Macaca fascicularis: one gene and its partners. The protein of the gene in region 1 interacts with the protein of each later gene in a pairwise test. Links are inferred from orthologs where the notes say so. Each region holds a gene or a part of one and is shown in the gene's direction. Other genes may lie near its edges. The genes, in order: HTT, ZMAT2, SP3, EZR, H2AP, WDR91 and TRIP10.

Region 1 (4,252 bases):
TGTCAGCACCTCCACTGCTCATACCTCACCGTTAGGGACCACTTGGGGCCTTGGTAGAGCCTTGGTACTCTACTTTCCTGGAGAGAGTTCAGCTTATGAATATGAATTTAGATTTCAAAAACCAGCAGCCCAAGTATAAGAAAGCGAAGGTTCAGTCCTGCCGCCTTAGGCTCTATTTGCTAAGCATCTGCCCTGCCCTGCCCTGGTTGCTGGGAAGAGATGAGCAAAGCAGACAGCCCAGGAGAGGATGGCAAAGGGGCCGCTAACCCTTAGTAGTTTAGCTATATTTGGAAGGACTATTAGAAGTTCACCAGGTGAAGGGGGAGGCCGTGAGAGTACCCAGGTAGGTAACAGAAGTCCAAAGGGGAAGACCTGTGGTGTGGTGAGCTGTATAGCCACAACATGCCGGCCGGCGGCCCTCTCAGTTAGCCTAGTGCAGTGTTCCCAAGCACTGGCCTAGGCCTGTAGCTCCAGGGATGTGAAGTGCCCTTGAACGCCACCCATCATGTTCCCCTTATTCATCTTTTTCTTCCCAGGACTGGTACATTCATCTTGTCAAATCCCAGTGTTGGACCAGGTCAGATTCTGCGCTGCTGGAAGGTGCAGAGCTGGTGAATCGGATTCCTGCTGAAGATATGAGTGCCTTCATGATGAACTCGGTACGGGGGGAGCAGCGGAAGCAAGGAATCCTCAGCTTTTCTTGTGACTTCCAAGTGGGATTTGTCTCCTCATGTGACCCACTTGTTGACAACACATGTTGGAGACTCCACTCTGGATGGGGACGGGATGACGGAGAGACTCCACTCTGAATGGGGCTGGGAAGTGGGGAGGACTCCATTTCAGGGGGCCGGGACATGGGGGATATGCTGATCGAGATTGTTTCAGCCACATTAGAATCCAAGGAGGCAAGTCGATTTCACTCAACCTTTCATGCATTTAAAGAAAATGGAGGTGGTCTTAGATTACAGTCATTTCACTGGTTTGTTCTCATGGCAGTGAGGAAGGGTATTGGATTGGTGTCTGTCTTAATTCAGGATCTTTGAGAAGATGGAGAGCACTCCCTCAGGGATTAGGAGAGACTCGAGATGGAAATGAAGATTTTACTACTTACAGGTCCTGGCGGGTACATGGCATGCCCAGAGGCCCCTCACACATGGAAGTTGGGGGCATGTGAGGGAATGAAGTGTGGTCCTGGGCACTTTTATTGGCATCTAGGGTGGGGGACCTGAGCGGCAGGAAGCAGGGTAGAAACTGGATGGCAGTGAAGTTGGAAGCAGGCAGCTGTGAAATTTGAAGCAAGTTGATGGGAGCCCTCTCTCATGAGGAGGTATTGTTTTGAAATCCAGCTGGCCCCAAGGCTGGGTGTGTGGTTTGGCATGAGAACTATCTGACCTCCACGGGAGGAACAAACACGGGATGTCATCATCTAAGCTCCATGGCCAAGACAGAATGGAAGTCAGGGTTGCATATTTGCCGTAGACTTTGACACAGTGTCGTAGTAACTTGTTTCTGGTGTTCTGGAGGTTGATCTTTAGTCGCAAAAGAGACCCTTGAATGCAGTGAGATTTCCTCTACCCACACCTCTGTTAGATGTAGTGAGGTTCTTCACCCCCCAACCCCAGATGTCAGAGGGCAGCCTGCGCAGAGCTATCCCAGGAGACCGTGCAAAGCCTTGGTGTCCCTGTCCTTCACCTGTGGGCAGATCCTGTGAGCAGTCGGGGGGCCACCTCTTTGGTGTGGTACAGCCATGGCCTGAGCAGGGCTTCCTCTCAGACCTACTAGGACGGGAGAAACCTCCTGGTGCTTTAGCCCTGCGTTGATACGCAGCAGATGGGAGGGAAGTGGGCACCCGGGAGGACAAATGCATGTAGAGGCTGGGGGTGGAGGCAGGTGTTCATGAAAAGAGACCTTACAGGGAGGGCAACACAACAGTGTGTTCTGATGTACTGAAGAGCTAGACTGAAAAGAACAGGAGAATTCACCCAAAATCCATTTACTAAAATTGTTTATCCTTTTTTTTTTTTGAGACGAAGTCTCGCTCTTGTCCCCCAGGCTGGAGTGCGATGGTAGATCTTGGCTCACTGCAACCTCTGCCTCCTGGATTTAAACAATTCTCCTGCCTCAGCCTCCCGAGTACAGGCATGCACCCACCACGCCCGGCTAATTTTTGTATTTTTAGTAGAGACGTGGTTTCACCGTGTTGGCCAGGCTTGTCTTAAACTCCTGACCTCAGGTGATCTCCCTGCCTCAGCCTCCCAAAGTGCTGGGATTACAGGCCTGAGCCACTGCGCCCGGCCTAAAATTGTTTATCTTAAGATTCATGCAGTGAAAACTAACTTACTGAGTGATAAATTTGCTTAGTGATCTGTTTATTAGGTTTTCCAAATTTGCTAATTGGGCTTTGAACAGCTGTAAAAGTTCTGACTGTAAAAGAAAGCTGCAACTTTTGGCATTCATGATGCTTTTCTGAATATTAAACTAAGATAGATGTTTTACCTGAAGAATTGGCCCCCAATCTTATAAATGGCTAAACAAAAAAGGTTGCTAAAACATAATCCAAATTGTCATAGGAAATACCATTTTTCCAACCAAAATTTTGTCATTCATATGGCTACTTTTACTTATTTCAGCTGCATTTGACCATCTTTTTCAAACTTCAGGGATGGTTGGTGTATCACCGAGATCTTGGATGACACTTTAGCTTTGATTTTCTGTTTTTATGAATTAAAATTGTCATACCAAAATTTTTACTTCAAGCAAATCCAAGAGCATAAAAAATTAAAATATCACTTAAAGTACCAAGAGAGAACAGAAATATATTTTACTAAGCGTACGTTGAATGAAGTTGTTCAAATATTTGTAACAGGCATAGAGTAGAATTTTCTTAAAAACATTTTTGATGGTATACCAATCTGTGTTTTCTCAGAAACATTTGCCTTATTCTTTTTTCTGTTGTGTTTTTCTTACCTGATTGAAAGCTCCTAATCTGTTGTTACTGTTTGTTTAACCTTTAATGCTCTGATTTCAGGAGTTCAACCTAAGCCTGCTAGCTCCATGCTTAAGCCTAGGGATGAGTGAGATTTCTGGTGGCCAGAAGAGTCCGCTTTTTGAAGCAGCCCGTGAGGTGACTCTGGCCCGCGTGAGCAGCACCGTGCAGCAGCTCCCTGCTGCCCACCACGTCTTCCAGTCCGACCTGCCTGCAGAGCCGGCGGCCTACTGGAGCAAGTTGAATGATCTATTTGGTAATTAAAATTAAAATTTATCTTATTTTTAGAAAGGTTCCAGGGCCAGTATAGTACTTTGCACCAAGTCAATATACAATAAAGGCGGTGGATCTAATACAGCGAAAGCGTTTACAGAGGCAGCTAAAGAGCAGCACTGGTGGCCTCAGCGCAGAATTTCTTCCTGCGTGTTTGCCACTTTGCCGTTCATTGACGTGGTCACGGACATAGGGCTCTAAGCCCTTGAGGAAGGCTGGGCCAGACCTCAGGGGAGATGCAGCCCCAAACTACATGCAGTCATGTGGATGGATGCGTAGATGTGCCATTGAGGAGCAATGTCTTGTGCTTTCATCAGATTCTCAAAGAATTGCTTGACTGCCTTTCGAAGGTGTTGCATCTGTGCTCATGTTTGCACCCACCCACGAGGGCCTTCTGTTTCAGGGGATGCTGCGCTGTATCAGTCCCTGACCACTCTGGCCCGGGCCCTGGCACAGTACCTGGTGGCGGTCTCCAAACTGCCCAGTCACTTGCACCTTCCTCCTGAGAAAGAGAAGGACACCATGAAATTCGTGGTGGCAACCCTTGAGGTAAGAGGCAGCTCAGGAGCTCATTGTTGCTGTGGGAGGGGACACGGGGCTGACACTGGAGAGGGTAAAGCAGTTTTATTTGAAAAGCAAGAGCTCTGACCAATCCAGTCACTCTTCCGTCTCAGCCTGGCAGTAAGTCTTGTCACCGTCAAGTTATTGTAGCCAGCCTTCACCCTTGCCTCGCCACTCCTCACGGTGGCCTGTGAGGTCAGCCAGGTCCCCTTCTCATCTGCACCTCCAGTGTTATGTGGATCGTAATTTTAGAGACTTGAAAAATAACCATCTGGAGGTACTTTGTGTCTTAAGTTGGCCTGGACATGTCAGCCAAGGAATACTTGGTTTGTGTTAGTGCTTGTAATTAGCCCCCAAAACATGTACACATTCTGGATGCATTAAAGTCAGGCCTGTATCCTTAAAGGGCCATCTCTGTACTGCCTGCCCTCA
Region 2 (3,028 bases), on another chromosome or scaffold:
GTGAACCCGGGAGGTGGAGCTTGCAGTGAGCTGAGATCTGGCCACTGCACTCTAGCCTGGGCTACAGAGCGAGACTCCGTCTCAAAAAAAAAAAAAAAAAAAAAAAAAAAAAGACTTAACTTTCTTTAGAGCAGTTTGGGTTTGCAACAAAATCGAGAGGGAGGTATAAAGATTTCCCATATACCCACTGTCCCCCACAACATGCATAGCTTCCTCCATACTTTTTTTTTTTAACTACAAGAGGAATTAACTAAATGTACCTAGTCCTAAGGAGGCCCATGAAATCAGGCTGACTGGGTCAGAATTCTGTTTCTTCCACTTACTGGCTGTGAATCTTGGGCAAGTTATATAACCTCTTTGTGCCTCAGTATCCCCATATTAGAGATCTTAGTATAATATGCATGAAGTACTCAGAGCAATTTCTGGCATGTACTGCATGCCCCAGAATGTCAGTTGCTATTATATGGTTTTGCTGTCATAACCCTGTCAGGAACTAGAAATGACATGGGGCCAGACGCAGTGGCTCACGCGTGTAATCCCAACACTTTGGGAGGCCAAGGTGGATGGATCACTTGAGACCAGGAGTTCAAGACCAGCCCCAGCAACATGGTGGGACCCTGTCTCTACAAATACAAAAATTAGCTGGGTGCAGTGGCACACGCCTATAGTCCCAGCTACTTGGGAGGCTGAGGTGGGAGGATTGCTTGAACCCAGGAGGTGGAGGTTGCGATGAGCCGAGATTGTGCCACTGCACTCCAGCCTAGGCGACAGAACAAGACTCTCTCAAAAAAAAAAAAAAAAATGAACTAGAGTGCAGGCTTGAGAACTTCTCTCTAGAGGCTAAAACTTCTTTTTGTTATCCTTTATAATTTTTACTCTGGCTTTTACTCTGTCCTTGAGATTTTACTTGTCTTAAGTACTTTCTCCTAAAGATAGAAAGGAGTCTTGAAACTCATGTCTTTTTCAGTAACATTTGGCTGAGGAGTCTAAACTGATTCTGAGTGATTTTTCCCTCCAGGAAGAAAAGGCCAAAGCATACAAGAAAGAGAAACAGAAGGAGAAGAAAAGGAGGGCTGAGGAGGACTTGACATTTGAGGAGGACGATGAGATGGCAGCTGTGATGGGCTTCTCTGGCTTTGGTTCCACCAAGAAGAGTTACTGAGGCTTTCTATGCTTGGCCTAACTTGGGCCTATGCTGGACCTAACTTTGTGTGTGTGTGTGTGTGTAGTCGGGGGTCATTTCTTTTTGGGTGATGGGAAAGTTCTTAAGAGTGTCAATGGGGAGGGATAGAGGGTGGGGCTCATGGTTTCCCTCTACTTTGGGAGAGGGCACAGATTGCAGAGGTAATGCTGTGGCATATTGCTTCAGCCTCAGTATATCGCTGGAGTCATAGGACCCCTGCCCACCTGAGTTTCCAATAAAGAAAAACCTCCCCTTCTGAGGCTGCTTTCCCAAAACTCCCCCTGCATCTTTATCTCTCCATCTATCCAGCCTCTTGTCTGAGCATCCCAACTTTATCCTGTGTTATGCCTTTGTTTTAATTTTATCTCATGTTCAGCCTGCAACAGAAGCATTCTCTAGGTCCCAGTTTCCAGTTGATTGCATATCCTTGACCAGCCCTTTTTCCCATCCCGCCCTATGGTTCTCTAGCTACCTGTGCATGCATGTGTATTTCTGCCTGGTTCTATGGTGTGTGGATGTGTGTGCATGAATCTGTCACATAGAGGGGGCCTGAGCTGGAATCCTAGAGCATTGCTGCCCTGGGGCCTGATGTTCTTGGCTTCCTCAGAGCATGTAACAGGAAATTAAATGGGATGAGTGTTTGGTGTGGTTTGTGTCTGATGAGTTTTTTAACATTCAGGTGTAGATTGTTTCAGGTTCTCTTGTTTCATTTTCCTGAGGATTTCTGTTTTTGTCTTCCTTGTGAGCAGGCTTTTGGAAGAACCTGTTTGATGCAAAGAAGAAAATGAAAAACAAAACAAAACAAAAAATCCCCAAAACCTTATTATGGGAGCCCTTGGGTCTTAGAAGCTGTTCAACATGTATAATAAATGGCATTGACTGGGCCTGTTTTACATTTGGTGGGAACATTCCATAATTTTGCCTGTGAATATTTGTTTTTCCTTCTCATGCTGAGGATTTCCATAGAGTGTTTTATTCTTCCATTTTAAATCTTATTTTTGCCTAGGATTTTTTTTTTTTTTTTTTTTTTTAGCATGAGTTATGTTTTCCTCTGGTAAGGGATCTGTGTCCAGAGGAGCCTGAACCAAAACTATTCCTATCATTTCAGACTCCTTTGATCTTTTGTTTTTGGAACAGTAGAGCTCAGGATTGAACTTAGTGTTTTTCTTTTTCTTTTTCTTTTTTTTTTTTTTTTTTGAGAGAGTCTTGCTCTATCGCCCAGTCTGGAGTGCAGTGGCGCGGTCTTGGCTCACTGCAACCTCCGCCTCTTGGCTTCAAGCGGCTAATTTTGTATTTTTAGTTGAGATGGGGTTTCACCATGTTGGCTAGGCTGGTCTAGAACTCCTTGCTCAGGTGATCCACCTGCCTCAGCCTCCCAAAGTGCTGGGATTATAGGCGTGAGCCATTGCACCCTGCCCTTAGTGTGTTTCTTACTGTCTGCTAGACACAGGATTACTTAATCTTGGCACTGTTGATATTTTGGGCCAGATTATCATTTGTTGTAGAAACCAATGCTGTGCAGTGTAGGGTGTTTATGATTTTGATTTTGATTTAGGATTAACTTCATCCGTGGCCTTTACCTGCTAGATGCCAGTAGCACCCTCTTCCACAATTGTGACAACTAAAAATGTCTATGCCCCTGAGAAAGGCAAAATCCCTCCCTACCCACATTGAAATCCACTGAGAAGCAGCTAGCTGTTTTCCCTACCTTGGTCTAATTTGAGAATTAGATGGCACAGACTGGTAAACTCAGTACAGAAACTCACAAAACTTTGATATCCACTGGATCAAGTACTGTACCAAGTCCAGGGGATGCAGAGGAAAAAAAATAGTCATACATACACG
Region 3 (4,981 bases), on another chromosome or scaffold:
GTGGCCAAATACTTTGCTCTCTAGGTGGCTGGACTAACACTTTGCAAAAATGGTATGGCAATAGTGTAGAACATATCCCCACTCCTGAAAAAACAAACAAACAAAAAATCTGAAAATGCCTGAAATATCCTTTCTAGGGAAAGAGCTACCTTCCACCCAACAGATCCAGGTAGGAACAGAGTGATAATAGTGACTTCCCTTCCTCTCTCCCAGTCTACTTTTCACTTTTCACCTGTCCTGCTCTTCAGGGCACCCATCTCTTTTTCCCTTCCCCCCACCCCAAATCAGGTTATTTTGTGACTTTTATTTCCTTAAAAGTTTTTGTTGTAAAATAGTACACAGGTTATACCATTCAACTTTGAAGTTATTTTTCCAATTAAATGAGACTACAAGGTCTTACTATTAGGAGAGATGAACCTTATTCTTGGACTCAGAATTTTGAGTCTCGTTTCCGCATGTTTGTGGTTTTTAGGTCAATTCCCTAGAAATTCGATCTTTGTACAATTAAGAGCAAAGTAACCATACAATGTTTCTGATCCTGTGAGCATAGGCGGTTAACTGCTTTGGAACTGGGATGCAAACTCGCTATCTCACAAATGGATTACCTATTAAGTTAGTACACACAAAATCTAGTTGAAGTGCTTCACAACCTCATCCACCAGCACATCATCACATATCACACAAAATACAATCATCACAGTAATGGGAAAACTGATTCTTGAGCCAGATTTCTAAAAAAGAGGTATTGTGGACAGTGTTTCCACCTCTTGAATTTAACTTCTTTGTTGGCAACTATACTTGAAGGTAACAGGGAGAGATATCTCTTAGTTGGCAAAACACAGACATAAAACCTCAGCATTTTCCCCCAGGATGACAGCAAGATATCAAGGTTGCCAAAGAAGGAAGGAGTTTTAACCTAATCCAATGAGTGAAACAAGATTTTAAAATACAACAAAAATGTTCCAATGGGGGAAAAAAGGTACTTCACCAGTTCACGACTTTAAAAACGTTGGCAATGGTTGATGGGCTTGTTTCAGGAGATATCTGACTTGGTACCAAGAGGATTAAGAGGCTGGGGATAATACGTTTGTGCAGCAAAATGATTATGTGACTGACTTTTTAAAAAAACAGTATTCTGCCCCATTGGATACATACACATACCACAGGTAAAATGAAATATACTTTTAAGTGCCCGTTTTGGTGCCACTGGCCAAAATTAAAACTCTCCTTCCGTATGTGAGGTGACTTGAAATTTTTTTGCTTTAAATGCCTGCCTTCACGGTACGTGAAAGTGGGAGACCGGTTGGAAAGCTGGGGCTAAGGGGGCTGGGAGCGAGATGGCTGTCTGTGAATCAGAAAGCTGGATGTGTGTGAGAAAAATCCTCCTCCAGCCTCGGAGGGGGTGTCTCCCCTAATACCAGCTCCCTCCCCCCGGGCTCGTGGGGCGGGTCTGGTTTGCTCAGTAGCGGCAGCGGCCGCAGCAGCAGCCCCGGGGCTGAGCGGCGGTGCCCTCCTGGCAGCGCAGGCAAGCGGCGGCTCCAAGAGCGCGAGGCCCTGGGGAAATCCGGCCGAGGCTGCTGCCGGGATGGAGGTAGCCTCCAGTGGAGCCGGAGTCACCGGGGACGAATTTCCTCCCCAGCTCAGCTCCCCTACAGCTTGGCTAGGCCTGCTCCGAGCGCCTGCGAGGTGGAGGAGGCCTGCGCCTCGGGCCTGGCAGCGGCAGCCGGCGAGAGAGGCGGACACAGCGGGGTAACCGGCGAGCCGTAGCCGCTCTCGGAAACCTACGCTGCCACGGCCGCTCATTGTCTCGCCCCTTCCACCCGGGGGGCAAACAGGAAGCGCGCCGCCTGGCACAGCGACGGACGGGCGCCTGGACCAATGAGCACATCCGACGGAGAACACGGCGGCGAATGAGGGCCAAGAAGAGGGGCGGGAGTTCCGGGCAGGCTGTCACCCTCTTCCCCCCTTTTGGGCTGGAGGCTCCACCTTTTGTGTTTCCCGCACAGTCAATCAAAATAGGAAAAAAAAATCCCCGGACCGCTCCGGCCGTGTCCGCCGCCGCTTCCCGCATCCTCTCCCGCCGCCGCCGCCTTCGCTCCTCACCATGTGTAAGGCGGCGGGGAGCCCCGCCTGAGGTGCCCTAAACACACTATGACCGGTACGTAAAGCCGAGAGAGCAACCCTTGCTGCTGCCGCCGCCGCCGCTGCCGCCGACCACAGCCAGCCCGGGGCCGCTGCCGCCGGTCCTGGCCCCGTGTGTGCGACCGAGTGTCTGTGAGAGGCAGAAAGCTGCACTCCCCTGCGCCTCCCTCCCCTCCCCGCCAGCCACCGTCCACCCCCGAAGCCCCAGCAACGCCGTCTCCCCGCCAGGCCCCGGGGCGGGCGGCCCGGTCCGCCGGGAGCGCATCCCCCTGTGTGCGGGCGCGGGCGGGCGTGTGTGAGTGACTGACGGTGCGAGAGGAGCGAGCGCGAGTGAGAGCGAGCGGCGCGAAGGGAAAGGGGAGGAGAGGAGAGGGGGCAGGGGCAGCGCGGGGAGGAGGAGGAGGAGGGAAAGAGGAGGAGGAGGAGGGTTACAGGCAGCGGCGGGCGGGGGCAGCAGCAGGAGGGGAGGAGGGAGCCGCCGCCGCCGCCGCCGCCGCCGGGGGGCGGGTGGGGGAGGGGAAGGGGCCTGGGTCCGGGCTTTGGGAGTAATTTCGCCTCGGCCCGCGGGCCCCCTCCCTCTCCGCCACCCGCCTTCCTCCCCACCCCCACCCCCCCGCGCTGTGCCTGCAGCTCCCGAAAAGCCCGTGAAACAAGAGGAAATGGCTGCCTTGGACGTGGACAGCGGCGGCGGCGGTGGTGGTGGCGGCGGCCACGGCGAGTATCTGCAGCAGCAGCAACAGCACGGAAACGGCGCGGTGGCGGCGGCGGCGGCGGCCCAGGTGAGGAGCGGCTGAGCCCCGGCCCGGCTCCCCCCTTGCGCCGCTTTCTCCTCCCCTCGCCTCTCCCCTCCCTCCTCGCCTCACCCCTCCCTCCTCGCCTCTCCCCTCCCCTCCCCTCCCCTCCCCTCCCCCCGCCTCGGGAGCTGCCCGCCCGAGGCGCCAACGCTCCGACCCCGCCCGCGACGCCCCGCCCCGCCCGCCTGCCGCCTTTTTGTGCGCGTGTGAGTGTGGGCCCCAGCGTGCCCTCTCGGGGGTGGGTTCCGGGCGGAAGGCGGAGGCCCGGCGCGCTAGCCCGCCGCCCGCCTGCCCGCAGACCGGGGAGCCGGGGTTCGTGGAGCGGGGGACGCCAGGCGGGGGCCGGCGGCGGGACCAGGAGGAGGAGGAGAGTGCGGGTTGGCGCTCGCCCGGGCGCAGTCGGCGGGGATCGAGTCGCACTTCCTGTGCGAGCGGCCGCCCGGCCCTAACCGCCACCCCCTCCCCCTGTCTCCCTCTCTGAACCCGCCCATTGGGGGTAGGACACTCAGCCGTCACCGCTCGCTCTGCTGGCCGCTACCTGCAGCAAGATAGGGCCGCCATCGCCGGGCGACGACGAGGAGGAGGCGGCCGCCGCAGCCGGGGCCCCCGCCGCCGCCGGAGCGGTAAGTCCCGCGCGCGGCCCGCCCCCGCTGAGGCCCGGCGCCCGCCATCCGGGGCCCGTAGCGCGCCCGCCCAAAAGGCCTCCCCGGCGCCCGCGCTTCTCCCGAGCCGCACGGGCCGCTGGGCTCCAGGGCGCCCTTTCCTGCTCTTTCGCATCCCTGTTTGGATCTGAAGCCAGCCCAGGCTTTCTCGAAATTGTCACTGCGGCACCTCGCGCAAAATTCTTCACAAAATGAAGTCTGAGAGGGCGGGGGTAGAGGACTCCAAAATGGATGTTTGAGCAATTCCTATCAGTGCTGAAAACTCCTTCGCTGAACACTACAAAATTTTCAAGCACAGCCTATCGGCCATAGATAGTATCAACTAGAAGGAGTGTCTTTAGTTTTTAGTATTTTTGAAACTGGAGCATTTTCTGTTGGAAGTTACAGGATCTTACTGTTTTAAATCATACATTATTTTTAAAAAATGGGGGTTTATTATTTGAATTATCCTTTTGTATGCAGGAGTGAACACTTTTTGCTTTTTTAGTGACCATTCAAAATCGTTGATTTTTAGTTTTTGCAGACTACTTAAATTTGCAGTGAGTTTTTTTTGTAAGGGGCGTAAGTGAAACATTTAGCAGCCTTTGAAATTGGCAAGTTGCTTAGATAGTACTTTATCTTTTGAAATTGAATATGACTATCAGTGTTAGAAAAGTATATGTAAGAAATTGTATTTACATGCATGCTAATACTGCAATACTTACAGTTGAATATGATTGGCAAAAGTATATTTTTGTTTTATTACGACTGCTAGTCAGGTAAGATGTGGTGGGATTCTTTCTGTAGTGTTTTCACAGTGTCCGGGGCAAGGGGAGGAGCTCGCCTGTGTTATGTGAGGGGTTAATACAAATAGGGTAGGAATAGTTTTTAGACTGTTAATTGTGAATTTTACATTTGGATCATCACTGTTGTATTGTGTAGATTTGTTCACCTGTTAAAATAATGAAAACCCTCTCGTGTGTGTGTGTGGGGGGGGGGTAGATCATAGGAATTGATTTGTGGAGTGATATTTTGAATAGTCACTGAAGAAAGAGAAGTTTGGTATTTGGTATAGTCTACAGCAAATGGTTAGTACGTCCAGATTTTTTTTTTTAAGTTAAACCAATGTTAAGCTATTATTGGTAAATAGATTTGTAATTTTAGTGTTTCGTTATAGGGGATGTGAATAGTTTTAATGTCTTTTTTATAAGCAGATTAAGATGTAAAAATGTAAAATTGTATTAGGCATTGTTATTTTTAAATACATTTATGGATTGGTAGGCCTTTATTTCACCTCATTTCAGCTTCACTAAGGGTTGGTAGACCTTTTTTATGAACTGTATCCCTCTAGTTCCTAAGTGCCAAAAGAAATTGACTATCTTAAACTGCATAAGTAAAATTGAA
Region 4 (4,967 bases), on another chromosome or scaffold:
TGGGGTTTCTCCATGTTGGTCAGGCTGGTCTTGAACTCCCGACCTCAGGTGTTCCACCTGCCTCAGCCTCCCAAAGTTCTGGGATTACAGGCGTGAGCCACCGTGCCTGGCCTATATCTTCATTTTAATAAAAAAGAAATTCAGGCCAGGCGCGGTGGCTCACGCCTGTAATCCTAGCACTTTGGGAGGCCGAGGTGAGCGGATCACCTGAAGTCAGGAGTTCAAAACCAGCCTGGCCAACATGGTGAAACTCCATCTCTACTAAAAATACAAAAAATTAGCTGGGCGTGGTGGCGGGTGTCTGTAATCCCAGCTATTGGAGAGGCTGAGGCAGGAGAATTGCTTGAACCTGGGAGACAGAGGTTGCAGTGAGCCGAGATTGCGCCATTGCACTCCAGCCTGGGCAACAAGAGTGAAACTCCGTCTAAAAAAAAAAGGAAAGGAAAGGAAAGAAATTCAGTCTTTCAGAGGGAATACACTTACCTGAATAGAGGTCAAAGTCTCAGAAGAGGCCTCCCTCCTCTCTCTGACCTCTGAAATGCCCTGGACCTGCAAGTGGGAGATTACAGGCCCTGACAAGGGTTGCCCAAACAGCAGTGTGGCACTAGGAAGGCAGGTTAAGCATCAATTACTATGATGCTAGCACAACTTAAGCACTCTGCATGCACAATCTCATTTAATCCTTACAAGTGTATGTAGGAGGGGCTACTAGTATGTTCATTCAACAAACTGGGATACAGAGTTTGGAACTTCACCCAAAGTCACTAGTTTCTCTACCAGGATAGATTTAAGTGCTTACTGTCAGGTACTGTTCCAGGCATCTTATATGTACTAACTCATTATCCCCATTACAACCCTCTGATACAGGTGCCATAATTATGCCACTTTACAGACGAGAAAACTAAAAGCAGAAAGGGAGCAGTAAACCCAGGAGATGAATTCTGGAGAAGCTCTCTGGTTTCAACCCTTAGCCAACATCACAATCACCTGAAGGGCTTGTAATACACTGATTGCTGGGCCCAGTCCTAGAGTTTCTGAATCCTAAGGCTGAGCAACACCTAATTTCCACTTCTGCAAGTTCCCAGTGAATGCTGTTGCTGCTCGTCTGGAAGCCAGACGTTGAGAACCCCTTCTAGAGTGAGGTCTCCCGCAACAAATTCTACCGGCCCCCAAAGCACGTGTTTTGTGTGTCTTAAAAATTTGTTGAGTACCATTAGCAAAAAACAAACAAAAAAACTTAATTCCTAGAATTGCAGAGAAATCCCATGGAGTTTTTTGCTAGTCACGTCAAAAGAGGCCACAAAGTGCCGCTTAACCAGAGCTTCGGAAGACAGCGGCTGGGCCGGCCACGTGCACCGAGACTTGGGGCCAGGTGCAGCCGCCCCAGGGCCGGGGTATCGGAAAGGGCCCCCGGTCCCAGCCCCAAGCGGCCCAGCAATTCCCCCGGGCCGTCCGCCCCTCCAGATTTATTTACGTTTTCCTGACTTCCCCCTGCCCGCCGTGGGACAAACAGCCTCCCCACTTGCATCTGCGCTGGGAGTAGCGCGTACTTCCGCCAAATTCGCCTCCGAGCCCGAGTCCCGGCCGCCGCCATCTTGCGGGGGGCGCACCTCACAGGTCGGGAGCTGGGCGGGAAGGGGCGTGGCCCCGGGACCCGCCCCGCCAGGGCTCTTGGGAGCGCGGGCAGCCAGCGCACTCGGCGGACGCCAGGGCGGCGGGGAGCACACGGAGCACTGCAGGCGTCGGGTGAGGCGTACGGCGGCGGGGGTCGGGGCGGGGGTTCCTGACGGAGGGACCGGGTGGGCGGCGGGAGCTCGGATGCAGGTACGGCGGGCAGCCTGGGGGGCGCGGCGCGGGTCTCTGCCCGGCACTCGAGGGGCAGTGGAGCTGAGCCGGCCAGCGGCCCCGCGACCTTCCCCTCGGCACCAGGTCCCCTCTCCCGAAGGAAACGCGGAGCCTGGGTGCCTGGGCGCCGTCCCTTGGCGGCTCCCGGGCGGTTGCAGTTTTTGAAAGAGTTTCTCAAAGGCGTGACGGTTGCGATTGCAGCCGCGGGGCAACGGTTGCTACACAAAGTGAAACTTGCCGAGTGCTCGGCTCCTCACGGGCTTCCTGGCAGCCCTGGGAAGTTCCTCGGCTGACCCCGAGCCCGCGCCCTCTCTCCACGGACCCCTCCCCGCCGAGTGCCCCCCGGCCATGCGCCCCCTCTCCCCTGACCCCTCCCTGCCGAGTGCCCCGAGGGCTCGCGCCGGCGCTCCCGGGACTCCTTTCTCCTAGGTGATTCCCCCTGCCCCTCGCCCTCTCTCCCCCAGGCCCGCGCTCCGTCTTCCCGGGCCTTTCCCCGCCGGGTACCCCGGGCCCCGCGCCCTCTCTTCTCCACTTCTCTCAGCCAGGTGCACCTGGAGTGCCCCCCAGACCCCTTCCCGCCCGGTCGGCGCTCTTTCCCCCATCCCTCCCCGCCGAGTGTTCCCCGGGGCCCGTGCCCTCTCCCCCCGACCCTCTCCGCCGAGCGTTCCCCCTGCCCTATATCTCCCGGACCCGCGTCCCCCACCAGCCCCTTAATGCTGGGGGTCCCCGGGTGCGCACCCCCTCTCTCCGGACCCCCCCAACTGGGGGCACCTCGAGTGCCCGCCGGCTGCCCCTTGGGCGCGCGCCCCCGCGCTCAGGCCCCTCCTCGCCGGGGGCCCCGCCCGGCCGCGCCCCCTCCCCGTGCCCGCAGTGCTGGGCGGGGCGCTGACTCACCCCGGCCCGGGCTGGCCGGTTCTTAAGCGGCGGCGCGCGGCGGGCGCGGAGTGTCGGGCGCGGCAGGAGGACGAGGCAGGGCCGACCGGCGCTCTAAGGGCTCTGCTTTGACTCCAGGTTGGGACAGCGTCTCCGCTGCTGCTGGAGAGTCGTGTTTCCGGGGATCGAGGATACTCAACAGGAACCGAAAATGCCGAAACCAGTAAGTTGCCCAGTTTCTGGGACGGGCGGACGGGGGAGGCTTCATTGGCGAGGGGAGGCACCTGCACGAGGTGTTGGGGCAGTTCCTGGTGGAAGAAGGCTTTTCTCACACGCAGAAGAGGATAGGAATAGGGGGTTGTCGCCGCTCTTTGTTACTTGTTGGCCCTTTTGTGGAGCGTTAGGAAAACACCATTTTGATGCTTTTCTCTGCAGTCTTTTTCTTTGTGAGCCCCCTCCCCAGTAGTTACGATCTTCTCTAAAAACTAGAGGCCCTTTTACACTGCTTCCGTCTGTTTTTAAAGGGTATGGTAATGCAACTTCGAATTTTCTTAAAAAGTCCAAATCACAGGGAGACTCAAATGGCCTCCGACCACACACACCAGCTCTCAGAGTTCCTAAGGGTCCGAAACCACAGGCGCCCAAGATCCAACTGGGGAGATTTAAAGGGCGTTTGGGAGAGGAGACTGGCTTTCGGAAGTTGCCGTTCAGCTTCGCTTCCTACGAGGCCCATGAAGCGGTGCCCTGTTCACCAGGAAACTTACTGGCTGCAGCAGAATTTCTGTCTCTTAACAGAAGGTTAGCCATGGACTTGAATTGTAGATGCAGGCAGTCGGCGGAGTTTGATGAGCGGCTCTTGGCACGCTGGGCCGAGCACTCCTGGTCAACTGATGAAAGGGCTGTGCCTGCGCCTCTGTCTCCTTGAATCTGATTGTGTTGAGATTGCTGGCTAGGCCTGGGGGTTGTAGGCAAAAGGCAGGTTCTCTGGGACTGACACTTCTTAGAAAGTTGTATGTATTCTACCTGCTTTTAACGCTGGGGAACTAGTGACTATTCGGGAGAAGGTTTAACATTTTTTGAGTTTTGAATCACAGTGGACAAAATAACAGGGTTCATTACAAACTGGGATTACAGATACATCCGGATTTTTTTTCTGGTTTTTCAAACAAGTTGGTTCTGTAATCAATGATTGTGTGCCTTTTTTTTTTTTTTTTTTTTTTTTTTTTTGTTGGGGGAGGTAGGTGGTGGGGAGCAGAGTCTCCCTCTGTCGCCCGGGCTGGAGTGCAGTGGCCTGATCTCAGCTCACTGCAACCTCTGCCTGTTGGGTTCAGGCGAATCTCCTGCCTCAGCCTCCCGAGTAGCTGGGATTACAGGCATGTGCCACCATGCCCAGCTAAATTGTGTATTTTTGTAGAGAGGGTGTTTCACCATGTTGGCCAGGTTGGTCTCAAACTCCCGACCTCAGGTGATCCGCCCACCTCGACCTCCCAAAATGCTAGGATTACAGGCGTGAGCCACCACACCCGGCCTTGGTGCTTTTTCTACTGTTAAATTTTATGTTCTCTAAGAAGATGTTTGTTAGAGGTATTAATTTTGCTGTTAGGTTAGAGAATATTAATATGCCAATAGATTCAGAAGCCAATATCATTTTTGCCTAAGTTACATTAAGATTTATTTGCGGTGCAGAGTATTTTCTATACAAAATTTTTCTTTTTAATTCAAACTTAAAAGTGACACGTGACATCCAGGCTTGACAGTGCATGTGGTATGAAACTGACCTAAGTACAACCCCTTACTTAGGCAGAGCTGAGTGCAAGGGTATGCAGAGGAGTGGTCAAGATTACCCTTCTGGGTGTGGTTTTCTTTATTTCACTAAAAGAAGAGATGCAGAGCTCAGCTAAGATAGCACTCAGGAAAAAGTTAACCTGTTCTTAGTCACTACTTTTCTTTCTCATAATGAATGGTAATTTATTTTTCTGGTTTCTTTTTTGTATCTTGGTAAAATATACAATTTATCCTCTTACTTTTAGATTTACATTTCAAAGGTATTAAGTACATTTACATTGTTACATCGCCATCACCAAGGTCTATCTCCAGAACTTTATCTTCCCAGATTGAAACTCTACCCATTAAACTCTCCCTCCCCATCCCCACCACCAGCCCTTGGCAACCACCATTCTACTTTCTGTCTCTGTGAATTCCACAACTCTAGATACCTCATATAGGTGGAATTGTGATAGCATTTGTCC
Region 5 (3,864 bases), on another chromosome or scaffold:
TTTTCATGCAAAGGATTAAATGAATGGCCTGCTTTTATTTCTGCTTATAGTAAAATGCTAGAGGAAAGACATAAATTGAGGGAAGAACTGTTAAGCAAAAAGAAAGCAGGATTCAATGATATGAGAAATTTTCAGCCTATCCAGATTGCAAAAAGACACCAAAATTAGGAAATTCGTTGCCACGAAATCATCCTCCAGAGATAAAATCAAGGGCATAGCTAGACATCCTTTTGCTAGTGCCTTTAAGGGATCAAAAGATCAAAATATTCAATCACACAGATGGTGTTTTGAAGAGATATGGGGTGTGCTTCTCAGAATAAGCAAGGGATTGTCTATGAAGGATCTTGAAGAAACCTCTTGTCTAATCACATGAATCCCCATGACATACATAAAAGACCTATAAGTTTTTGAGAATGTTATATCAGCAGAAACAATGCCAGCTTAGACGGAAAGGGACAAATAGAGGAAGAAATGAAAGAAGGCCATAGGACTCCCAAAATTTGACAGGAGAAAGCAGGCTGATAAAACTACTCAGCTGTAAACATATGCTACCATTCAAAATAAAGGAACAATGACTGAGGGCAGAACCTAGAGGCCAGAGGGCAGATTTATTACCCCAGGTGAAGTCATAGGATCAGAGTGATCAAAGGGAGGAGTCTTAAGTCATAGAATATTCCCAGGCCTTGAAACCTAATGGTTGGATTTTGAAATTGTTTGGATTTAAGACTCTTTTGTTCTTTCTACTTTTTCCCCTATGGAATGGCAAAGTTATTGGCTGTAAATGAACCAAAGTCAAAGGGAAAACACAGAATTACTAGAAAGGAAAATTAAATAATAGAAAAGAAACATCTGTTAGTGCTTTTGCTTCACCTAGGAGAGACAAGAAATATACATCTGGGCTTAAACTGAGCACAAGATGCACTTCTCTATCAACTGTTTACCTGACACTGACAGGTAAACTTATTGAGCATCTTATTATTAATTGAAAAATGATTAAAATATATTTTTCAACCATTGTGGAAAACAGTATGGCAATTCCTCAAGGATCTAGAACTAGAAATACCATTTGACTCAGCCATCCCATTACTGGGGATATACCCAAAGGATTATAAATCATGCTGCTATAAAGACACATACACATGTATGTTTATTGCAGCACTATTCACAATAGCAAAGACTTGGAATCAACCCAAATGTCCATCAGTGACAGACTGGATTAAGAAAATGTGGCACATATACACCATGGAATACTATGAAGCCATAAAAAAGGATGAGTTCGTGTCCTTTGTAGGCACATGGATGCAGCTGGAAACCATCATTCTCAGCAAACTATCGCAAGAACAGAAAACCAAACACTGCATGTTCTCACTCATAGGTGGGAATTGAAGAATGAGATCACTTGGACACAGGAAGGGGAACATCACACACTGGGGTCTGTTGTGGGGAGGGGGGAGGGGGGAGGGATAGCATTAGGAGATATACCTAATGTAAATGACGAGTTAATGGGTGCAGCACACCAACATGGCACATGTATACATATGTAACAAACCTGCACATTGTGCACATGTACCCTAGAACTTAAAGTATAATAATAAAAAATAAAAATAAAAAAATAAATAAAATGCATTTTTCAAATAGGGTAAAATCATGACACTCATACAGATACGAAATGAACACATGCTAAAAGAAAAAGATGTTATGACTGCTTCAAAAGGGAAACCAAAGAGTCGATATGGGAATATTCATCAGTAATATTAAATGATTGTGCACATGGAGGCAAAACTGGTTTCATAAGGTGAAGACAACTGAACCTCTACTAAAGAATATACTGTACATGTATCAGCCACCTACAACTAACAAAAGGCTATAAAAGACTTCACAGATAATGTAAGGCTAGAATCAGATAACCTGCAGTGGTGTCCTAAAGATAGAGCAAAGTTTTCCATTGAAACACACTTTTATTTTTATAATGTCAAAATCAGGTAAAGAGTTATAGTTCCCTCAAAATCAGGGTTCAGTCATTAGGGTGACTAGATCAGTGTCACAGACATTTCTAAGCTGAGGTCTGATCAGGGACCAGTGGACACCAGTGAAATCACAAAGCCTAGGGATGTCACAAAGGCAGCTAGCTCCCTGACCAATCAGGGCCTGGAGCAGAGGGATCCAATAGGCAGCACCAGCGTCCTCAGAGACTTACTTGAGCTGGAGAATCAAGCAGAGCTGATCAGAGCCAAACCCAGCAAATATCATGTCAGAGAAAAATAACCGTAAGAACTCCTCTGCAAATAACAACCAGATTCAAGACCGGTCTAGAAATGAGCTGCGGGTCCCTATGAGCTTCGTGGACCGAGTTGTGCAAGATGAACAAGATGCCCAAAGCCAGAGTTCCTCCACAATAAATATCCTCCTTACCCTGCTCGATTGCCTTGCTGACTACATCATGGAGCAGGTAGGCTTGGAGGCCATCAACAATGGCAGGATGCGCAACACTTCACAAGATGGGGAGAGAGAAGTGGACAACCACCATGAGCCCCACCGCACTGAGAGTGATGGAACCCGCTTTGTGTTTGATGAGATGCCCAAATCCGGAAAGAATGACTGAAGACTGGGTCCCAGAGCCTTGAGGGGATCCTCACAGGCTTAGCCAGGGCAAAAATGTGTCACAGCTGAGGAATATCTGCTGTTGTCATCAACAAGTGCTACTAAAGGATGTAAATCCATGAGTATGTTTCTGACTCCTTCCAGTTTCCGTCTTTTTGGGTTGTAGGTGTCTGTGAGACATCAAGGAGAAGCTATCCCCAGAGAGCTGAAGTTGGGGGGGGGGGGCGGGAAGTGGTGGCCAGTGTGGAGTGTTTGAATCAGTGATTTAGAGGGGGCAGTTTCCAACGGTGACAGAGAGGGCACGGGCCCTGTGGGGAGGAACTGGCTGGGATAAAGACACCGAGACTTCCTAATTGCCTCTGAACAGGAAGGCCTTGTGAGGCCGGGGAGTTGGCTGGGGGCCTCTGAGGCTTGCTGAATTCCCAGCCTGATGCTGGGGCCTGGGGTGGAGCTGCAGACTCTGACTGAAGTGCAGGAGGCAGAGGGTGGTGGCCACAGGGGCGGGTGGAGAGGGGGCACACTGGCTGGCATGAAGTTCATGGGATAGGGACTTTACATGGAGATTGAGAGTGAAGGAGAAACCATGATGAAAAATGCAAAAAAGAAATGATGGCCTGCTGGATTTCATTTCTTATTTCTTTATGCCCTGACTTATTATGAAAGAGGATTTGAGACAGGGATTAGTAGCTAGTGCTGTGAATATATCTTTCTGTCCTCTCTTCAGGACACTGGTAAAATAAATCATAATAATACATAAAATTTATGATCTGGCCTAAGATGGGCAATTCAAGAAGTTCTTAATGGTTGTTAATTATTAATGAATCAGCTTAATTATATATGTATTTCATTTAAAACACAATTAACAATTTCATTTTTAAATTAAATACCTATTCATTATAATTACTATATATTGCATAGAGCACCAAAGAATTATTAGTGACTCAATACATGTTTTAAGAGGTATAGAAATAGTTCTGTCCCAAGTGACGGCCTCTAAAGCATGTGCAATCCTTTTCAAAACTTCCTGCTCTGTGCTAAGTTTAAAAGAGGTGTCACATCAAACGTTGTAGCAATCTGTCCCCTTGCCTGTGAATGCCCGCATTTTAGGTTTCCACCTGTTCCTTGGGTCCTTGGGTGCCACAGTCTGCTGCCTGCTGGCCTTTCACAGAGGATTGGTCAGAGGCTGCACAGGCAGCTCCAACAGTGGGAGCTGAGGGCCTGGGTTTCAGATCCCAGTTCACCACTTCCTGGACATGTGATATT
Region 6 (3,323 bases), on another chromosome or scaffold:
TGAGGTGGGAAGTGGGAGCCTCGTAGACTGTAATCTGAAGTGTGCACCGCAGGACCTGCGCTCGCTGTGGGTTAGGCTCCTCTTTTCTGTGGAGCTTGATTCTGTCAGTTGCCCTTGCCCTTTCCTTCAAAATTAGCTCCATCATTTCTCATAACTGATATTTCCCAATGGAGACACTAAAACGCTTTCCGTTTACAAGCCTGCTCTTATTTTATTCTCCAGAGGTTTGTTTTTGTTGCATTTTTGGTGGGCTGTTCAGTACTTTGCTCTCTGTATGGATATATGTGTGTATGTGTTTTATTTTTAGTCATGCAGCCTTTGTCATTTGATCTGATCAGTTCATATGATTGGCAGTCAGACTTGCTGTATGACCAGTTAGTTGGTGGAAAGATTTTCCTCTGTAGAATTCTTTGAATGTGAATAATGAGATCTAATTATTTAAGGAATATATTGAACTTCAGGTCCCACTTTTATAATCTATAAACAATGTAATTTATGGTTTTTGTAAGTGTTTTCTCCACGATGGCTGAAGACTGCGTTGTCTCTCGCTCACAGTTGCTATACATAGTGGTACTGATAGGAATTCGGTTCGCTCCCAGCTTCTCCTTCCCCGTTAGTGCCCTATCGCACAGGATCGCTGGCTAGCTAGTGCCGGGGTTCAGAGAGCCATGTTTCCGCACCAACTGAAGGCTCCCCTGCGCCAGCACTGTTCTGGGTGTGGCAGGCTGGCCCCCCGCAGGAGAGAGCTGCCTGAGGCCCTACTCCCCTGCAGCTTGCATTCCCCGGTATGGGAGTGAACCTTCAACCAATGAGCAGATTCATGAGCACATGTCAGGTAGTGAGAAGTGATGCTGTAGTGAGAACAACCAGTGTGCGTGCAAGCAGCACCAGCCCACAGCAAGTTCAAGGCAGCTGAGAAAATGCCTTATTTTAAAGAGCTGCTCAGGGACTTGTTTTCCACTTCAGATGGACCAGCTGTAGTTGGGAAAGTGAAAGCATTTCCTGGTTGAAGAAGTTAAACAGACTTTCTAGAAAGGTGGGCATGTGTGCCTGGCCTCAAGCACATCCTCAGGTAGGCCACTGAAAGTGGATCAAGTATGTGTAAGTGGTGTTTGCTGACACCTCCTCCTGTTTCCTGTCCTCTTGCAGCTGGGTGGCGATGAGAAGGTTCTGGAGAGCTGCTTGAGCCTGGGTGGCCACCGAGCCCCTGTGGTCACCGTGGACTGGAGCACTGCCATGGACTGTGGGACCTGCCTCACTGCCTCCATGGATGGGAAGATCAAGCTGACCACCCTCCTGGCCCATAAAGCCTGATGACCTGCCCCAAGGGCCACCCAATGAAGCAGTATTATCCGGGGTAGGGGGAGGAGGTATAGGACAGGAAAACCAGGTGCTCCACTCCATCTCCCTGCCAGTGCAGTGACTCTGCAGGGAAAGACTGGCAAGGAGGGTCAGGCACTGCCATCTTCGGTGACTGGAATGGGACCCACGTGGAGTAGGTGGCATATGCTTCCCAGAGACGGGTATCATGGCTGTGCCAGAAGTACATGTGAGACTATGGAGGAAAGCTCTGGAAGAAGGAGAAACATTGCAGTGGCTACTGTGTTGGCTCAGAAGAAATTGACAGTATTTTGTATATATATGCCCATTTTTATTTTTCTTTTTTTAAAAAAGAGAATGCTCTTATGGTCCCCTGGTGTCTCTTTCTAGGATGTGTGTCACTTTGCTTCAGTGACAGCCCTCCCACCCAGCCTGGCTCTGCTGGCCCGGAGCTGAACCTCTCCAGGCTCTCCTGTTGCTTTGCCATGGAGCCAGGTCAGCTCTCTGTCTGTTCTGCTGCGTAACAAGGTTTGGCAGTTCCTGTTTCTCTGGGCTTCAGTCAAGGCCACAGAGTTCTTTTTCTTCCCTGAAAGCTGGCAGCTTTTGTTACAGAAGATTCTCAGGATGAAGGCAGGGGCTGAGGCCTCTGCCACTGGCTTCCCCTTTCCATCCAGTGGCTGCTGTTTCCCAAGATGGGCTAAGCATTCCTTATCTGAAATGCTTGGGACAGGAGTGTTACAGATTTTGGATTTTTTCAGACTTTGGAATATTTGCATATATACATAACGAGGTGTCTTGGTAGGTCTCATGTCTAAACATGAAATTCACTCATGTTTTAGATATACCTTATACATGTAGCCTAAAGATAACTCTATACAGCATTTTAAATAATTTTGTACATGAAAACAAAGTATTGATTGTGGTCACGTATGGTATTTTCTACTTGTGGTGTCATGTTGGTGCTCAAAGTTTTGGAGCGGGGCACGGTGGTCACGTCTGTAATCCCAGCACTTTGGGAGGCCAAGGTGGGTGGATCACTTAAGGTCAGGAGTTCGAGACCAGCCTGGCCAACATGGTGAAACCCCATCTCTACTAAAAATACCAAAATCAGCTAGGCGTGGTGGCAGGTGCCTGTAATCCCCGCTACTCCGGAGGCTGGGGCAGGAGAATCACTTGAGCCCAGGAGGCGGAAGTTACAGTGAGCCAAGATCACATCATTGACCTGCATCCTGGGCGACAGAGGGAGAACACAACTGAAAAAAAAAAAAAAGTTTTGGGTTATGGAGCATTTTGGATTTTGGATCTTTGGGTTAAGGACGCTCAACCTATACCTCTTTCATTTGGTGGCTCCTCTCCTTCCTCCAACTGAACATCTCTGTGGAAAGGTGACGGCTGCCTGCCCCCCTCTGCTGGCGAATGGTGAGGTCAGAGCAAGGGGGCCAAGTTGCTGCTGGTGGGCACCTGGGGTTAAGGCCAGCCCAACTGTGGCTGAGCCCATCTGTAGCTGAGCTGAGCATCAACCAGCTGTGTCCACACCCTGCCTGAGGCGTGCCCTCTCCTCCCTGGCTGGGGTGGGACCTTGAAAATGCAGATCCTCCCAGGAGGTGAGGAGGAACAAGAGACTCACTCCCCTTTTCCCTCTTGCCTTTCACAGCTGAGGCAGAGCTTATGGGGGGAGTCACTATGGGAGTGATGGGCCTGGGCTTTGGTCTCCAGTGCTTAGCAGGGGTGACCTTATCACTAAGCTGGGAAAGGTGGCTGCCACTAGTCATTTTAAGTCTCTGAGCTCCAGCCCAGTTCTGGGGGCACAAGTCTGGAGTAGGGATACTCCTAGTTACCTGCTTGTGGAAAAGCACAAAGAAACTTTTATCAAAGCCTTGGCTCTGTTCTGGGAGTTGAGGGAAAAGTAGGGAGGTATTTAAGTGGCTTGATTATGAGAAAACACCAGAGACAGTAGTAAATAGTTATTTACTGATTTTTACCCATTTCTACCCTGGTAATCC
Region 7 (4,252 bases), on another chromosome or scaffold:
GTCTCAAAAAAAAAAAAAAAAAAAAGAAGATACGGTGTTTGATTACAAAATGATGTCCCCAACCCCACTGAAATGATGCATAAAAGGTGGTGTAAGCCTTGTACACCATCTTTATTTTATTTATTTATATTTTTTGAGACAGAGTCTCGCTCCGTCACCCAGGCTGGAGTGCAGTGGCACAATCTTGGCTCGCTGCAACCTCCTCCTCTCTGGTTCAAGCAATTCTCCTGCCTCAGCCTCCTGAGTAGCTGGGATTACAGGCACATGCCACCATACCCGGCTAATTTTTTGTAATTTTAGTAGAGACAGGGTTTCACCGTGTTAGCCAGGATGGTCTTGATCTCTTGACCTCAGTATACCATCTTTAAAAACTGGAAAATTCTGTGTTCCAAAATACATTCGAGGTCCAGTGCAGTGGCTCACACCTGTACTCCCAGCACTTTGGGAGGGTGAGGCGGGAACAGGCGGAGTTCGGGGGGATTGGAGTTTGAGACCTCATCTCAAAAAAAAAAAAAAAAAAATTAGTCAGGTATGGTGGCGTGTGGCTGTGGTCCCAGCTATTTGGGAGCCTGAGGTGGGAGGATCACTTGAGCCCAGGAGTTTGAGGCTGCAGTGAGACACGATTATGCCACTGCACTGCAGCCTGGGTGACAGCAAGACCCTGTCTCAAAAAAAAAAAAAAAAAAAAATTCTACTCAAAGGTTGGGGTTAAGGAATATGGACCACAACTTGTCATTGCTTCAAGGATTAAATTCTTGGGGCTTAACCCTTTTCCACCTGGAGGTGCGTCCTGGGGCATCAGCCTATTTGGGGGGCCTGACTCCCTGTTCCCCGATTCTCATCCTACCCCAGATTCAGCCAGCAACAGTCCTTCGTACAGATTCTCCAGGAGGTGAATGACTTTGCAGGCCAGCGGGAGTTGGTGGCCGAGAACCTCAGTGTCCGTGTCTGTCTTGAGCTGACCAAGTACTCACAAGAGATGAAACAGGAGAGGAAGATGGTGAGGAACTCCCCTCCGATTCAGGTTTTGGGAAGGGCTCCTGCTGGAACTCTGGCGAGCCTTATCGCTCTTCTTTCTGTAGCACTTCCAAGAAGGGCGGCGGGCCCAGCAGCAGCTGGAAAACGGCTTCAAACAGCTGGAGAATGTGAGTTTGCAGAGGTGGCAGTGACTGTGGCCCGGAGGCACGGGGGTCAGGGTTGCAGATCCTGGAGTCAGGGACCTGCCCTCTTTGTCAGACCTGGTCCTTCCCTGCCCCATAGGCTTCTAGTACGCCCTTGTCCCCTACTTACTGGTTGACATCCCAACAATCCCTGAAACCTTGGTTTCCCACCCTGCTGTCTTTGGGAGGGTGGCTCCCTCACTCTGGTTCTGTCCCCTACCCTACACAGAGTAAGCGTAAATTTGAGCGGGACTGCCGGGAGGCAGAGAAGGCAGCCCAGACTGCTGAACGGCTAGACCAGGATATCAACGCCACCAAGGCTGACGTGGAGAAGGTGTGTGAGGGGGTGGCGGGGTCTGGGACAAGCTTAGGGGGTCCGGGTGGGACGTGACCAGAACCTGGTAGTACCTTCCACCTCCTCATTCCTCAGGCCAAGCAGCAAGCCCACCTTCGGAGTCATATGGCCGAAGAAAGCAAAAACGAATATGCAGCTCAACTGCAGCGCTTCAACCGAGACCAAGCCCACTTCTATTTTTCACAGATGCCCCAGATATTTGATGTGAGTGCTCCCAGTTCTCAGACCTACCTTCCCAAAAGCCCCCAAATGTTAGCCAACTCCTGCACATTCGTCAAAACCCCAGCTGCAATGTCCCAGTCCCTAGATTGAAAGGGAATCAGAAACCTATCATAACAGCGAGCTGTGCTTTTAATCAGCTGTTCTTCCTGCTGGGCATGCCTTTTACTTGTTTGTTTATTTACTTCTATAGAGAGATGGGGCCTGGCTCTGTCACCCAGGCAGGAGTGCAGTGGCGCAATCACAGCTCACTGCAGCCTGGAACCCCTGGGCTCAAGCAAGGTTTCTTTCCTTTTGAAATTCCTACTTATTATTTTAAGCTCCACCTCTAACAACCTCTCTGAAAGGTCTCGAATTTCCCCTCTCCTGTTTCAATCTAGTGCTCCATTCTCTGTCCCATCCCAGGCCCTGGAAGTATCAGGGCTGGTTCTGCTTTTTCTTCAAATCCCTGCTCCTTTGTCTCCTCCTTTGAGAAGCCTTTGCTGACCCCCTAGGCAGGCGTCCCCCTCTGAGATCCCCCTGGCACTGTGTCGCTCCCCAACCACACTGGGCTGGAGTCTCTTCTCTTCCTGACTCTGTCTTCCCCTCCAGACTGGCTTGGGGTTGGGGCCAGCGTGGAGTGCGATCATATTTGCAGAGTGAATCACTGTGCTTCTAGTCCCTCTGTTAGCACCCCTGAGCCACCCTTGTCCCCGTCCCTACAGAAGCTCCAAGACATGGATGAACGCAGGGCCACCCGCCTGGGTGCCGGGTATGGGCTCCTGTCGGAGGCCGAGCTGGAGGTGGTGCCCATCATCGCCAAGTGCTTGGAGGGCATGAAGGTGGCTGCAAATGCTGTGGATCCCAAGAACGTGGGTGCCTGGTCTGGGTCCAGTGGGCCATGGGAAGGGCGGAGGGAAGTCCCCATACGCTGGTCACTTGACTACTCATCCACTGTCCCCCTCCCCCAGGACTCCCAAGTCCTTATAGAGCTGCACAAGTCAGGTTTTGCCCGCCCGGGCGACGTGGAATTCGAGGACTTCAGCCAGCCCATGAACCGTGCACCCTCGGACAGCAGTCTGGGCACCCCCTCGGAAGGACGACCGGAGCTCCGAGGCCCAGGCCGCATCCGCACCAAGCGCTGGCCCTTTGGCAAGAAGAACAAGGTGGGGGCCGGGACCCTTGGGATGGTGGGGGAGAAGGACAGTGAGGTGGGGACAGTGGGGCCCCTGTTGAGTCAGCCCCAGCCGCCTGAACGCCGAGTCCCGGGCAGGAATTTTCCTCTTGGCTGCCAGCCCGGGCTGGAGGGAAGGAAGGCGGGCGGGCCGCTTGGCCTGGGAGTCCCCCGAGGCGAAGGCGGGGGCAGGGTGGGGAGGTCTGTGGCGTTTGTCTGCTGCTTCTCGGGATGCTGGGAGAAAACCTGCTGGTGGAATTCAGAGCTGGCCTGAGGGCTGGTGACACCATCCCTGGGGACTCCCCGAGTTTCTCTCTCCATCCTGCTGATGGGACTCCGGGAGCTGCCCTGCACGTCCTGGTTTCTTGGGTTTTTGGATTTTAATATACCTTAGCACCCTTGGTTTATACCTTTGATTTATACTCTGGGTCCCTCTTGACTTACACTCTCATACCTCTCCTTGACTTCCACCTGCGATCCCCGAGCTTAAACCTCTGACGCCGCTAACCCCTCTCATTTTCCTGCCTTCCACTCCCTCTCAGCTTGTGGTTTTATTTTTGTTTATCTTTTGTGTCCTCCGTGGCCTCACACCTGTCTGAGACCTCGATTCCTGCATGCGTCTTCTAGACTGTCAGCCCAGAAAGCTAAGTGGACAGAGATACATGGGTCTGCCTGCCTCCTGGACCCATGCTTGCTCCCGGACATAACATTCCAGAGACCTAGGAGATACCGGGGGTGTGAGAGTTCTGGCTTTTGGGCTTACAGTTCAACGTCCTCCCCGCCACCTTCCAAATGTTTTTGTGTCGCTCCTGCATGCGTTTTCTCTGTGTGATTGTGTATCTTGAGTTGTGGTTTTCTTACCGTTTTTTTCTTTCTCCATTTTGTTTTTCCTTTTTTCTTTTCGCGTCCATCCGTCCATCCGTGCATCCATTCCTCCGTCCATTCGTCCTCATTTTCTACATCCTCCTACACCCCCCTACCCCTTCAACCTATCCCCCTCCCCGGCCCCCTCCGGTAGCCTCGCCCCCCACCCCTCTCCCCCCTGGGGGGTCCCGTACCCTCGGCATTGCCTAACGGACCCCCGTCCCCCCGCTCCGGCCGTGACCCCTTGGCCATACTGAGCGAGATCAGTAAGTCGGTCAAACCGAGGCTAGCATCCTTCCGCAGCCTTCGAGGCAGCCGTGGGGTAAGTGAGGCCTCGGGGCAGGAGAAGGTGGTGGCCCTAGCCTGCCCAGCGGCGGGTGGCGGGACCCTGGGCTCGCTTCCTGCCGCTGGCTGGGCCCCTCTTCCCTGGTTGCCCAACCCAGACCCGCTTTGCTTTGTGCATGGCCTCGCTGCCAAGAACCATGGCTGGGGAAGGAAGTG

What was found.
Region 2: the proteins of HTT (region 1) and ZMAT2 interact in binary tests that used the Homo sapiens proteins (3 or more experiments, as listed by UniProt). The link is inferred for Macaca fascicularis from reciprocal best matches to the Homo sapiens genes HTT and ZMAT2.
Region 3: the proteins of HTT (region 1) and SP3 interact in binary tests that used the Homo sapiens proteins (3 or more experiments, as listed by UniProt). The link is inferred for Macaca fascicularis from reciprocal best matches to the Homo sapiens genes HTT and SP3.
Region 4: the proteins of HTT (region 1) and EZR interact in binary tests that used the Homo sapiens proteins (3 or more experiments, as listed by UniProt). The link is inferred for Macaca fascicularis from reciprocal best matches to the Homo sapiens genes HTT and EZR.
Region 5: the proteins of HTT (region 1) and H2AP interact in binary tests that used the Homo sapiens proteins (3 or more experiments, as listed by UniProt). The link is inferred for Macaca fascicularis from reciprocal best matches to the Homo sapiens genes HTT and H2AP.
Region 6: the proteins of HTT (region 1) and WDR91 interact in binary tests that used the Homo sapiens proteins (3 or more experiments, as listed by UniProt). The link is inferred for Macaca fascicularis from reciprocal best matches to the Homo sapiens genes HTT and WDR91.
Region 7: the proteins of HTT (region 1) and TRIP10 interact in binary tests that used the Homo sapiens proteins (3 or more experiments, as listed by UniProt). The link is inferred for Macaca fascicularis from reciprocal best matches to the Homo sapiens genes HTT and TRIP10.

Annotation. Positions count from the first base shown.
Region 1 is NC_088379.1:3,425,811-3,430,062, forward strand, and holds part of HTT (huntingtin), read left to right. Parts: intron 1-536; coding exon 537-659; intron 660-3,028; coding exon 3,029-3,242; intron 3,243-3,662; coding exon 3,663-3,808; intron 3,809-4,252.
Region 2 is NC_088380.1:147,181,410-147,184,437, forward strand, and holds the end of ZMAT2 (zinc finger matrin-type protein 2), read left to right. Parts: intron 1-1,018; coding exon 1,019-1,162; 3' UTR 1,163-2,076; downstream 2,077-3,028. UniProt on the Homo sapiens protein: Involved in pre-mRNA splicing as a component of the spliceosome.
Region 3 is NC_088386.1:69,488,330-69,493,310, reverse strand, and holds the start of SP3 (transcription factor Sp3), read left to right. Parts: upstream 1-1,949; 5' UTR 1,950-2,151; coding exon 2,152-2,158; intron 2,159-2,772; coding exon 2,773-2,921; intron 2,922-3,436; coding exon 3,437-3,559; intron 3,560-4,981. UniProt on the Homo sapiens protein: Transcriptional factor that can act as an activator or repressor depending on isoform and/or post-translational modifications. Binds to GT and GC boxes promoter elements. Competes with SP1 for the GC-box promoters.
Region 4 is NC_088378.1:67,154,516-67,159,482, reverse strand, and holds the start of EZR (ezrin), read left to right. Parts: upstream 1-1,698; 5' UTR 1,699-1,746; intron 1,747-2,856; 5' UTR 2,857-2,929; coding exon 2,930-2,941; intron 2,942-4,967. UniProt on the Homo sapiens protein: Probably involved in connections of major cytoskeletal structures to the plasma membrane. In epithelial cells, required for the formation of microvilli and membrane ruffles on the apical pole. Along with PLEKHG6, required for normal macropinocytosis.
Region 5 is NC_088395.1:37,929,768-37,933,631, forward strand, and holds H2AP (huntingtin-interacting protein M), read left to right. Parts: upstream 1-1,476; 5' UTR 1,477-2,248; coding exon 2,249-2,602; 3' UTR 2,603-2,864; downstream 2,865-3,864.
Region 6 is NC_088377.1:176,850,388-176,853,710, reverse strand, and holds the end of WDR91 (WD repeat-containing protein 91), read left to right. Parts: intron 1-1,149; coding exon 1,150-1,314; 3' UTR 1,315-2,230; downstream 2,231-3,323.
Region 7 is NC_088393.1:7,506,418-7,510,669, forward strand, and holds part of TRIP10 (cdc42-interacting protein 4), read left to right. Parts: intron 1-852; coding exon 853-1,000; intron 1,001-1,082; coding exon 1,083-1,145; intron 1,146-1,389; coding exon 1,390-1,494; intron 1,495-1,590; coding exon 1,591-1,719; intron 1,720-2,438; coding exon 2,439-2,585; intron 2,586-2,684; coding exon 2,685-2,879; intron 2,880-3,905; coding exon 3,906-4,073; intron 4,074-4,252. UniProt on the Homo sapiens protein: Required for translocation of GLUT4 to the plasma membrane in response to insulin signaling. Required to coordinate membrane tubulation with reorganization of the actin cytoskeleton during endocytosis.